Arabidopsis thaliana: one gene and its partner. The protein of the gene in region 1 interacts with the protein of each later gene in a pairwise test. Each region holds a gene or a part of one and is shown on either strand. Other genes may lie near its edges.

Evidence for each region. The genes of interacting proteins can lie anywhere in the genome.
Region 2: the proteins of EMB2719 (region 1) and DSS1(V) interact in a two-hybrid assay, tested with the Arabidopsis thaliana proteins (one study listed by BioGRID).

Annotation. Positions count from the first base shown.
Region 1 is NC_003070.9:7,000,577-7,006,102, reverse strand, and holds EMB2719 (PAM domain (PCI/PINT associated module) protein), read left to right. Parts: upstream 1-1,670; 5' UTR 1,671-1,792; intron 1,793-1,927; 5' UTR 1,928-1,948; coding exon 1,949-2,027; intron 2,028-2,120; coding exon 2,121-2,311; intron 2,312-2,502; coding exon 2,503-2,643; intron 2,644-2,732; coding exon 2,733-2,869; intron 2,870-2,970; coding exon 2,971-3,025; intron 3,026-3,113; coding exon 3,114-3,224; intron 3,225-3,591; coding exon 3,592-3,831; intron 3,832-4,181; coding exon 4,182-4,694; 3' UTR 4,695-5,016; downstream 5,017-5,526. Other genes in the region: AT1G20220 (Alba DNA/RNA-binding protein), read left to right, coding at 76-150, 268-324, 432-488, 608-841, 922-1,013. UniProt on the Arabidopsis thaliana protein: Acts as a regulatory subunit of the 26 proteasome which is involved in the ATP-dependent degradation of ubiquitinated proteins.
Region 2 is NC_003076.8:18,166,379-18,170,369, reverse strand, and holds DSS1(V) (DSS1 homolog on chromosome V), read left to right. Parts: upstream 1-1,986; 5' UTR 1,987-2,148; coding exon 2,149-2,239; intron 2,240-2,788; coding exon 2,789-2,919; 3' UTR 2,920-3,364; downstream 3,365-3,991. Other genes in the region: AT5G45020 (Glutathione S-transferase family protein), read right to left, coding at 1-115, 196-324, 391-615, 695-871, 952-1,164; AT5G45000 (Disease resistance protein (TIR-NBS-LRR class) family), read right to left, coding at 3,365-3,533, 3,624-3,991. UniProt on the Arabidopsis thaliana protein: Subunit of the 26S proteasome which plays a role in ubiquitin-dependent proteolysis. Also associates with the TREX-2 complex that is required for transcription-coupled mRNA export.

The sequences.
Region 1 (5,526 bases):
CTCACTCTTAATGACGTTTTTAAGCTCCCTGCCCTGCTGTCTTTTTTAAGTTTTTAAATTATCTCTTTCTTGTAGACGGATCTCCTAGAGGCAGAGGAGGAAGAAGAGGTAGAGGAGGAAGAGGAAGGGGAAGGGGAAGAGGTGGTAGAGGTAGGATTACTTTAGAAATTGTTTATACAGTGTCGTAGTTTCGTTGTAAGCTTTTGCATGTGATTTGTGGATAAGCGTTTGAGTGGACTGTGCTAATTCCTTTTTTCGACTTATCAGGAAATGGACCTGCGAATGTTGAGTATGATGATGGAGGAAGGGGAAGAGGTGGCAGAGGTAGGATATCTTTAGCCAAATCGTATTTGAGTATAGATTTTTGCATATGATTTGTGGATAAGGGTTTGAATGTGTTGTGCTATTTCTTTTTTTGTTTGATTTACCAGGAAACGGATATGTGAACAATGAGTATGATGATGGAGGAAGGGGAAGAGGCGGCAGAGGTAGAATTGCTTTAGAATATTTCTTTCCAAATCTTAGTTTTACCTTTTAACATATTTGCATGTGATCGGCGGACAAGTGTTTGATTGGCTTGTGCTATTTCTTCTTTCGGATTTGCCAGGAAGTGGATATGTGAACAATGAGTATAATGATGGAGGTATGGAGCAGGACCGGTCATATGGCAGAGGACGCGGGCGTGGGAGAGGAGGTGGACGTGGTGGTCGAGGAAGAGGAGGTTACAATGGCCCCCCACCACCTTACTATGAAGCTCAACAAGATGGAGGAGACTATGGATACAACAATGTTGCTCCTCCAGCAGACCATGGATATGATGGTCCTCCGCCTCAGGGACGTGGTACGTTGATGATTTTGTTACACTAATGTTTTCTCATTAAATAATGATGAGTTGTAAATGTTTAAAAATTGTTGGAACAGGACGTGGCCGTGGAAGGGGAGGTCGTGGAAGAGGAGGAGGCCGTGGTGGATTCAACAGATCAAATGGAGCACCTATCCAGGCTGCTGCATGAGCGACCAGGGTCATTGAATGAAGTTGGATCTTTCTTACATTCTCATGTTTTTGTCTCTGTTCTTCAAAGCAACTTGTTGCCGTAGAATAATCTTTCGTTCATGTCGCTTTAGGTTATATATATCCTCATTTATTTTATCATGGATCTTGGATTTTCAAGTTTTTATTCCTTCAAGAGTTTTCTAGTTTTGTCTCTTTTTTGAGTTTTGGATATTTGTTTGACTCCAATTACATTCGTCGGCGTATTGACACTAACAAGTAAACAACCCCCTTTGGCATTGCCTTTTTCCATTGGTTCGTATATCAGTTGATTATATATTCTAACAACATAAAAAGATAACAAGAAAAAATAATGAATAATAAAATTGTAATTCCAAGTTCCAACGTGTTTTGAGACAAAAAGAAATTAACCCAACTTGCGCTGGTTGTGTTTTGGGCTATTCGAAGAAAGCGTACGAAAATAAGTGAGAGAGGTCCAAACAAAACTAGTAACCAAAAAGTTAATCGCCGTTGCCGGGGATCGAACCCGGGCCACCCGCGTGACAGGCGGGAATACTTACCACTATACTACAACGACATTTGTTGCTCAATCGTAATGTAGAAGATATAAATACTAATATGGAAAAAAGCTGTCTTGAACAAAAAGAAATATACTTTTTTTGTTGTGTCCAAAAAAAGGAAAATACTTAGGAAAGAAAAGAGTCTCAGCAGCATCAGCTCGTCCTTAAATCTGATCCATCATCGTCACTTTCTCCCGGCGAATTCCGTTTTATCGATTTAGTAAGCTCTCTGTCTTTATCTCTCCGTCTTTCTCAGTCAACAAATTGGTTGAAACTTCAATCGGTTCCTTGAAATCTCACCGGCTTAGTTGCATACTTCTGCAAAAACCCTAACCTTGTTTTTGTCTTTGTGAAGAGTAACGAGATTTGTGCAAAGATGACTCAGGACGTGGAGATGAAAGATAACAACACCCCTTCTCAATCGATTATCTCTTCTTCTACCTCTACTATGCAGAGTAAATCTCGATCTGAATGCTTTAATTCTCGAACTGTTTTCATAATTGCTAAGTTTCTTCTGGGTTTTGACGCTTTGTTTCTTTGTTTCCCAGATTTGAAGGAGATTGCAGCACTCATCGATACTGGGTCTTACACGAAGGAGGTTCGTCGTATTGCTCGTGCTGTGCGTCTCACTATAGGGCTTAGGCAGAAACTCACCGGCTCTGTGCTCTCTTCCTTCCTGGATTTTGCTTTGGTTCCAGGATCCGAAGCTCACTCTCGCCTCTCTTCCTTTGTTCCTAAGGTATTTGTGGGTTTTACTTCTTCACTTTGATGTTTCAGAATTCTCAACTTGGTTGTTCCTTTTAGCATCTGGCTTTAGGTTGTTTAGATTCGTGTTATGGTTGTTATACTTTCTTTTGATGTTGTGAATGGCAAGTTATCTAACATACAACTGGCTTAGAGACTGAAATATTGGAACTTTTAATGGTTTAGGGTGATGAACATGACATGGAAGTTGATACTGCCTCATCGGCCACACAAGCTGCTCCTTCTAAGCATCTACCTGCAGAGCTCGAGATCTACTGCTACTTCATTGTTCTTCTTTTTCTGATTGATCAGAAGAAGTACAACGAGGTAACTACTGCTGTATCTTTGTGTTTTGTCATAAGTTACTTTTCTGTTGTGATTTTAATTTTAATGAGTTGCTTTTAATCATCTCTTAGGCTAAAGCTTGTTCTTCAGCAAGCATTGCTCGTCTCAAGAACGTCAACCGAAGGACCATTGATGTGATAGCATCAAGACTCTACTTTTACTATTCTTTGAGTTATGAGCAAACCGGTGATCTTGCTGAAATTCGCGGGTTAGTAGCTCAAAGACTGTTTTAGTTTTGTACTTTGTCTTACACCTCATATTAATCAGTAGCTCAATAGTTAATAATCTGGTCATTTTTTCTACCTGCAGTACTCTTCTTGCGTTGCATCATTCTGCAACGCTAAGACACGATGAGCTGGGTCAGGTATGTCTTTGTTTAGCTCATTCAGTCGGCATTCATTATTTTGAAACTGTTACTTGCTTCTTATTCAAATTTATCATGTTGAATGCAGGAAACCCTTCTGAACCTGTTGCTACGTAACTATTTGCATTACAACCTCTATGATCAGGCAGAGAAGCTAAGATCAAAGGCACCTCGCTTTGAGGCTCATTCAAACCAACAGGTAGCTCTTGGCTATTCCTTCATACTCTAAGTTTTCTCGGTTCTCTAGATTCTATATTTGCATGAAAACTCCAATGCCACTTCTGCAATCTTTCCAGAGAATTATTTTTTCTATTCGCTATAGCATTTTCCATCTAGGAGGCTCTTGTGTTTTCTTTTCAATCACTAATTATTTGCCGAACTTACTTGAAGTGTCCATTTTGCCTGTCCTTTTCATACTTCTGACACCACCTCTTACCATTACCATCGATCTACCTTGTGTTTTTCTTTGCTACATATGAATTTTGTTCTTTTTTTAACCCTTCAATTGTTACTGTTTCAAAAGAATAAACAGCAAGATGACTTGTCTAAAACATTATACTTTGCAGTTTTGTAGGTACCTTTTCTATCTCGGGAAGATTCGTACTATTCAGCTCGAATATACGGACGCAAAAGAGAGCCTTCTTCAGGCGGCCAGGAAAGCCCCTATAGCAGCTTTGGGCTTCAGGATCCAATGCAATAAATGGGCAATTCTGGTTCGTCTACTGCTGGGTGAGATACCAGAGCGTTCTATCTTCACTCAAAAGGGTATGGAGAAGGCCCTCAGACCCTACTTCGAGCTAACAAATGTGAGTCCACTTTCATAATCTTGCTGCTGTGACATGTATTCATTAATTTATGAGCGGATAACTAAACTGGTATTAGTATGTGGTCACTTGTGATCTTGCTACTTCACTTCTGATTTTAAACCGGTTCCTACTTTTCACTTACTGGCCTATACACCTCTTCTGTTAAAATCTCTCTGTGGTCACTTGAAACACAATTTTGTTGCTGCTGTTGTTTTCTGCTCCTTCGAATTATATTGAACATGAATTTCTGGCTGTTTACTGTTGCTTTTTAGAGATATATGATGCAACTGGATAGTTGATACTGATTTTGATCTGAGGCTTACTATTAAAGCTCTGTTTTGATTTTACAGGCGGTTAGGATTGGGGACTTGGAGTTGTTTAGGACAGTCCAGGAGAAGTTCTTGGACACATTTGCTCAAGACAGAACGCACAATCTCATCGTGCGACTCCGCCACAATGTCATCAGGACTGGACTGCGGAACATAAGTATCTCCTACTCAAGAATCTCTTTACCCGATGTTGCCAAAAAGCTGAGGCTCAACTCTGAAAACCCTGTGGCTGATGCGGAAAGCATCGTGGCAAAGGCCATACGCGACGGAGCTATTGATGCTACAATCGATCACAAAAACGGATGCATGGTCTCCAAAGAAACTGGGGACATCTACTCGACGAATGAGCCACAAACTGCGTTCAACTCAAGAATTGCTTTCTGCCTCAACATGCATAACGAAGCTGTCAGAGCATTGAGGTTTCCTCCTAACACTCACAAGGAGAAAGAAAGCGATGAGAAGAGGAGAGAGAGGAAGCAACAGGAAGAAGAGCTTGCTAAGCATATGGCTGAGGAAGACGATGATGATTTTTAGACAAAGGTCATCTATTTCTTATAAGAGTTGACTCTCCATCTGTCTCACTTTTTTTATGTTCACAAGTTTACTTGGTACTCTTCTCATCGTCTCTAAGTGTTTCTTTATTGAGGATTTTTATCCTCAGGAACCTTTTTATTACTCTGGTTTCACTTTAGGAAAAGATATTTATCTTGTTGGTTTCAGAAGATCAAATTCAACTTCGTTTAATTGTGTTTGGGAGATTTTCGCATTTTAAGAATTGAACACTTGTAGTTATAGCTAGCTGTATTAGGTGGGTCATTATTAGAAATTGACCATGTGAAATGCTATCATCTCCAGGCGATGCATACCATTAAAATCCACATTCATAATTTACATTAAATGATAGATAAGCAGTCATAAATATCTAAAGAATGAAAACAGGACATGTGTATTGACCATTATGTGTATTGATACATTAGTCTATCTCTGCCAAACTAGGTCTCATTTTCTTGAATAAAACAATCTCATGTTATGCTTTTAATTATAGGTGTTTCTGGTTCGATTCATTAACTTCTTAATAATGACAAAAATCTGTAGAATAATACCCGGGCTCTTTGATAGCTACAACTGCCAACTATTTAATCCATACAATCAAAATGTAATTTTCATAATTGTAGATTTGTAATGGGTCAATATATTCTTACACTCTAATCATATCCAAACAAGCTCCTCAATTCCTTAATCTTGTTGTATCCAGTATCCATATTTTGTTTTCTTACTGCGGAAGTTACTTGGTAGTGTAGTCTGGATTTCGGATTGCAGACTTTGCAGTCCACGATTTTTCATATGTTGGTGACAACGAACAAGT
Region 2 (3,991 bases), on another chromosome or scaffold:
CCATGTTTACGGTGCTACTCATGCCGTGTATTTGGTAAATGTCTTTTATGTAGTTGAAGATATTCGGGTACTCCCGTAAGAGTCTCTTGTTGCATTTGAAGTGAACTGCATAAACCTGGAACGCAGAAAAAGATGATGTCAAGAACCTGATGGATTTTCTATTTGGAAACAAAGAAGACAAGTTGACTCATATACCTCATCAAATCTTATGAGAGTGACGAATAATCGGATATCTGCTTCAGTGAAAGTGTTTCCGCAGATGTATCGTTGTTTTCCGAGTACTTCCTCACATCTATCTACTGCTTCATATAACTGGTTCACTGCCTGGAGAGAAAAGGGATCAATTTTTGAATCCCTGTTCAAATGTTTAAGACATTGAGGGATATATACCTCATTATAGGGTTCTTGTTTCCTTGCAAACCCACATTTATAAACACCGTTGTTTATTCCGTTGAAAACCCATCCGTTAGTCTCGTTGATTACGTCTCTGAGATGAGAAGGATAAAGGTCAAGTGACGGGGTTTTCGCAATACCATTGAACTCAGTGTTGAACATCCGGATTATCTCTGAACTCTCATTGTTAACAACAGTCTTAAGCTTCTTATCCCAAAGAACCTAACATAATAACAAAACAAACATTCAAGAAACAGGACAAAGAAAGATTAAAGAGTTCACCAAAGAGATCAAAACTTACAGGAACAGTGTACTTCCCTTCATAGTTTGGGCTAGCAATCTCGTAGAGTTCTCTCACACTTTTGGCACCATTAAGATAGTCAGGCTCAGCTCCAGGGAGCTCGGTATCCGAATCCGGGAAAACCCATCCTCTATGATCATCAGTTTCCTTGGTTCTTCCCCAAATGGCATGAACCGACTAATCAAATCAAATAAAACAGAAATGCTTCAGGTTAACAAAGTCTTCTAATTCGATATGAGCAATGAATTTGTACTAACCGAGAAGGTGATTGCTTCATCAAGTCCTTTGATCTTTAAGTAAGAAAGACATCTACAAGCCCATGGACAAGCATAAGATATGTAAAGATGGTATCTTCCTGATTCAGCTGGAAACTGAGAATCAGGATCTTGTGAAACAAAGTTGCGGAATGTTGATGCTGTTCTTACAAAAGCTCCAGATTCTGATGTCTCATCAACCCCAGACCTAGCCATTTTGCTACTAATAAAAAATCAAACACGAAAATTCACATGACAAACGAAAAGAATAAAAATTTCAGAATGCACAATTTTTCTTTTTCACCTCAATAGAGTGAGTAAAGTTGAAAACTTTGAGAGATTTCTTATAGATGGTCACTTGTCACATAATCAATCTCAATTTTCTCTAGGTAAAGGATCACAGGAAACGAATCAAAGCATCAAAAAGTTCAGAAATTTCGAGTAGGGTTTTACTTAATTATCTCATTAGAGCTAGAAAAAGGTTAAAATAAAATGTTCATAATTCATAGCCTTCAAATATGATTTTCAACATTTATGGATCATTGGGCCAAAATCAAACCCAGAACTCAGAAAATGTCTAACAAGAACATGATTCATGCAGAGAAGAAGATAAGAGACAAAACCTGTTGACGACGATGTTATGTATTTGGCGTCGAATGTCGCTGTTTTGTGGCGATAAGGTTAAAGAAGAAAAAGTGAGCTTTAAGGAAAAATGGTAATGAGGGATGTCATCTTATAGTGAAAGAGAAGGAATCCGAAAAAGGACTTTGCTTTGTCTTCACTGCTCTGTCACGCCTAGCGAGTTAACTCAGACTAACGAGTTGACTCAGCTGGGTTCTGTGGGGAAAGCGTGACAACTTTTGGACCGGTTTGTATGTCATGGATTTGGTCAAGACGAATGCGACTATTGGACCGGTCTAAAACAGCTTCTTTTAAACCTCAATCGGATATTTTTAATATTGGGTCGGATTCGGTATGAATCATATAAGATTCGGGTCGGATTCGGTATGAATCATATAAGATTCGGGTCGGTTATTGGAAATTGGTAATTTTCCCCTTCTTCAAGTTAGACCCAAAACGAAAAAAAGGTTCGTTTAAAGAGCTCTGGTTGGGTTTAACTTGGAGGAATTAATCGAGTTTGGTGATCTTCTTCTTAGGTTTTTTTCTCGATCTGGTTGATTTGCTTAAACATCTGTAACTATGGCGGCAGAACCCAAGGCAGCTGTCGAAGTGGTGAAGGTGGATCTATTCGAGGACGACGATGAGTTCGAGGAATTTGAAATCAACGAAGGTGATTTTTTTGTTTTATACTAATTGCTTCTTTGATTTTCGAAATTGATTCATCATCGGTTATAAAATTAATGGAGATAAGAGCAAATTTCATTAGCAACTGATTTGGTGATTGATTAGGTTTTGGTATAAATACAAATTTTGATTCTGCACTGTCTTATACAAACTAAGATAGTCTCTATTGTATGAAGTTGGGTAGTTCTGATGCGAAAACGGATCTGTTTGATATATGTTTATGATGATGAAGCTACGGTCTCATAAACTTGATGGATAATAGTGCAGTTTTATGAGCAAACTACTGGTGATTATGTTTGCATTATTAATCGGCAAGGCTTCATGAGCTAAAGGGCCTAAAGGTTATGGTGGATTTAGGAATTATTTGGGGGCATTGAGTAGCTTGGGGGAGAGTTGTACAATTCAACTTAAGCTAGGATCAGTTTCTGATTTTAACAGATTTTGCTTTGCAATGTTAGTTCAGTCTTGAGATTTAACAAATAGCTTTATTGAAAGAATTGATAAAGATGGATATTTTTATTGTTATGTTTGGCAGATTGGTTGGAGAAAGAGGAAGTGAAGGAAGTTAGCCTGCAGTGGGAAGATGACTGGGATGATGATGATGTCAGTGACGACTTCTCGCGTCAGTTAAAGAAGGAGCTTGAGAATGCTAGTGAGAAGAAATGAGGTCCAAGATTGCGAGAAAGGCAGGTCTTCTCATTTAGGGAACCTTGGCTTTTTTGTTTGAATTGCATCCTTTGGTTTATCGTAGCATGTATCGGTTCTCCTTTTCCTTTACACATTATACTCTTCCTTGGATGCAAATTTCTCGTCTTTGAAGATGATAAATTTGAGCTGATAGTAATTCTATTCTGATAATCACCATCTTCTCTCAACACAGTGCGGTGTGGACATGGATTGGTTTACTATGTACATCACAAAATAACCGTAGAGATAACATTCAAATAGACATAGCTGATGTGCGTCACAACATTACATATAGTGTTAGCGTCCACAAGCCAGAAGCGAGAAAACATCATTTTGTTTCTAATATTAACATAAAATCTTGTGCAAGACAACAACCAAAAACGGAAAGCCTAATAACAACTTACCAATTTTCAAAAAGTTCACATCAGGCATAGGCATAGGGTATATGAAGACAGCAAAGATAAATGTAGCAGTCAAAGCCCTCAAGAAAACTTCTCCAATACCTAATTTTCTTCTTCTTCTTCTTCTTTGGAGAGTTTGGTAGTAATCTTGTAACCTCTTTAACAATGGCACCGACAAGAGCAAATTCGTTCCTGCAAAATGAGTGAAAGAAACTGATTAGACGACCTTACCACAAAGTCGATCTTACTACAAAACAAGAGTTCTATTAAATATTCTATTACATGTGTGCTTCCAAGCTCAAGCCAATCCTCCCTGTAACAGTAGATGACTTCAAGGATTTTTCCCAACTTTCAACCATCATTGGTTCCATAGCAAATCTCTCTTTTGTGTTTCTAAAATGTATTCCAAACTCTCCCTCAAGTCTTCTCACTTCGTTTGTTTTCACACTGTAGAAGACTGGAATGACCACGAGTTTTCCTTCCTTGGCAAGCTCTTCCATCTTCACAAGCTCGTTCAAACACCGATATGACTCAGAATACCTCTTTGAGAAGATGGCAAGCGCGATATTCGAGTTCTCTATACTCATGAACACTTCTTGTTTTTGTCCACTTCCTATAAGCTTGAAGCTGTCTTTGAAGACATTGATCCC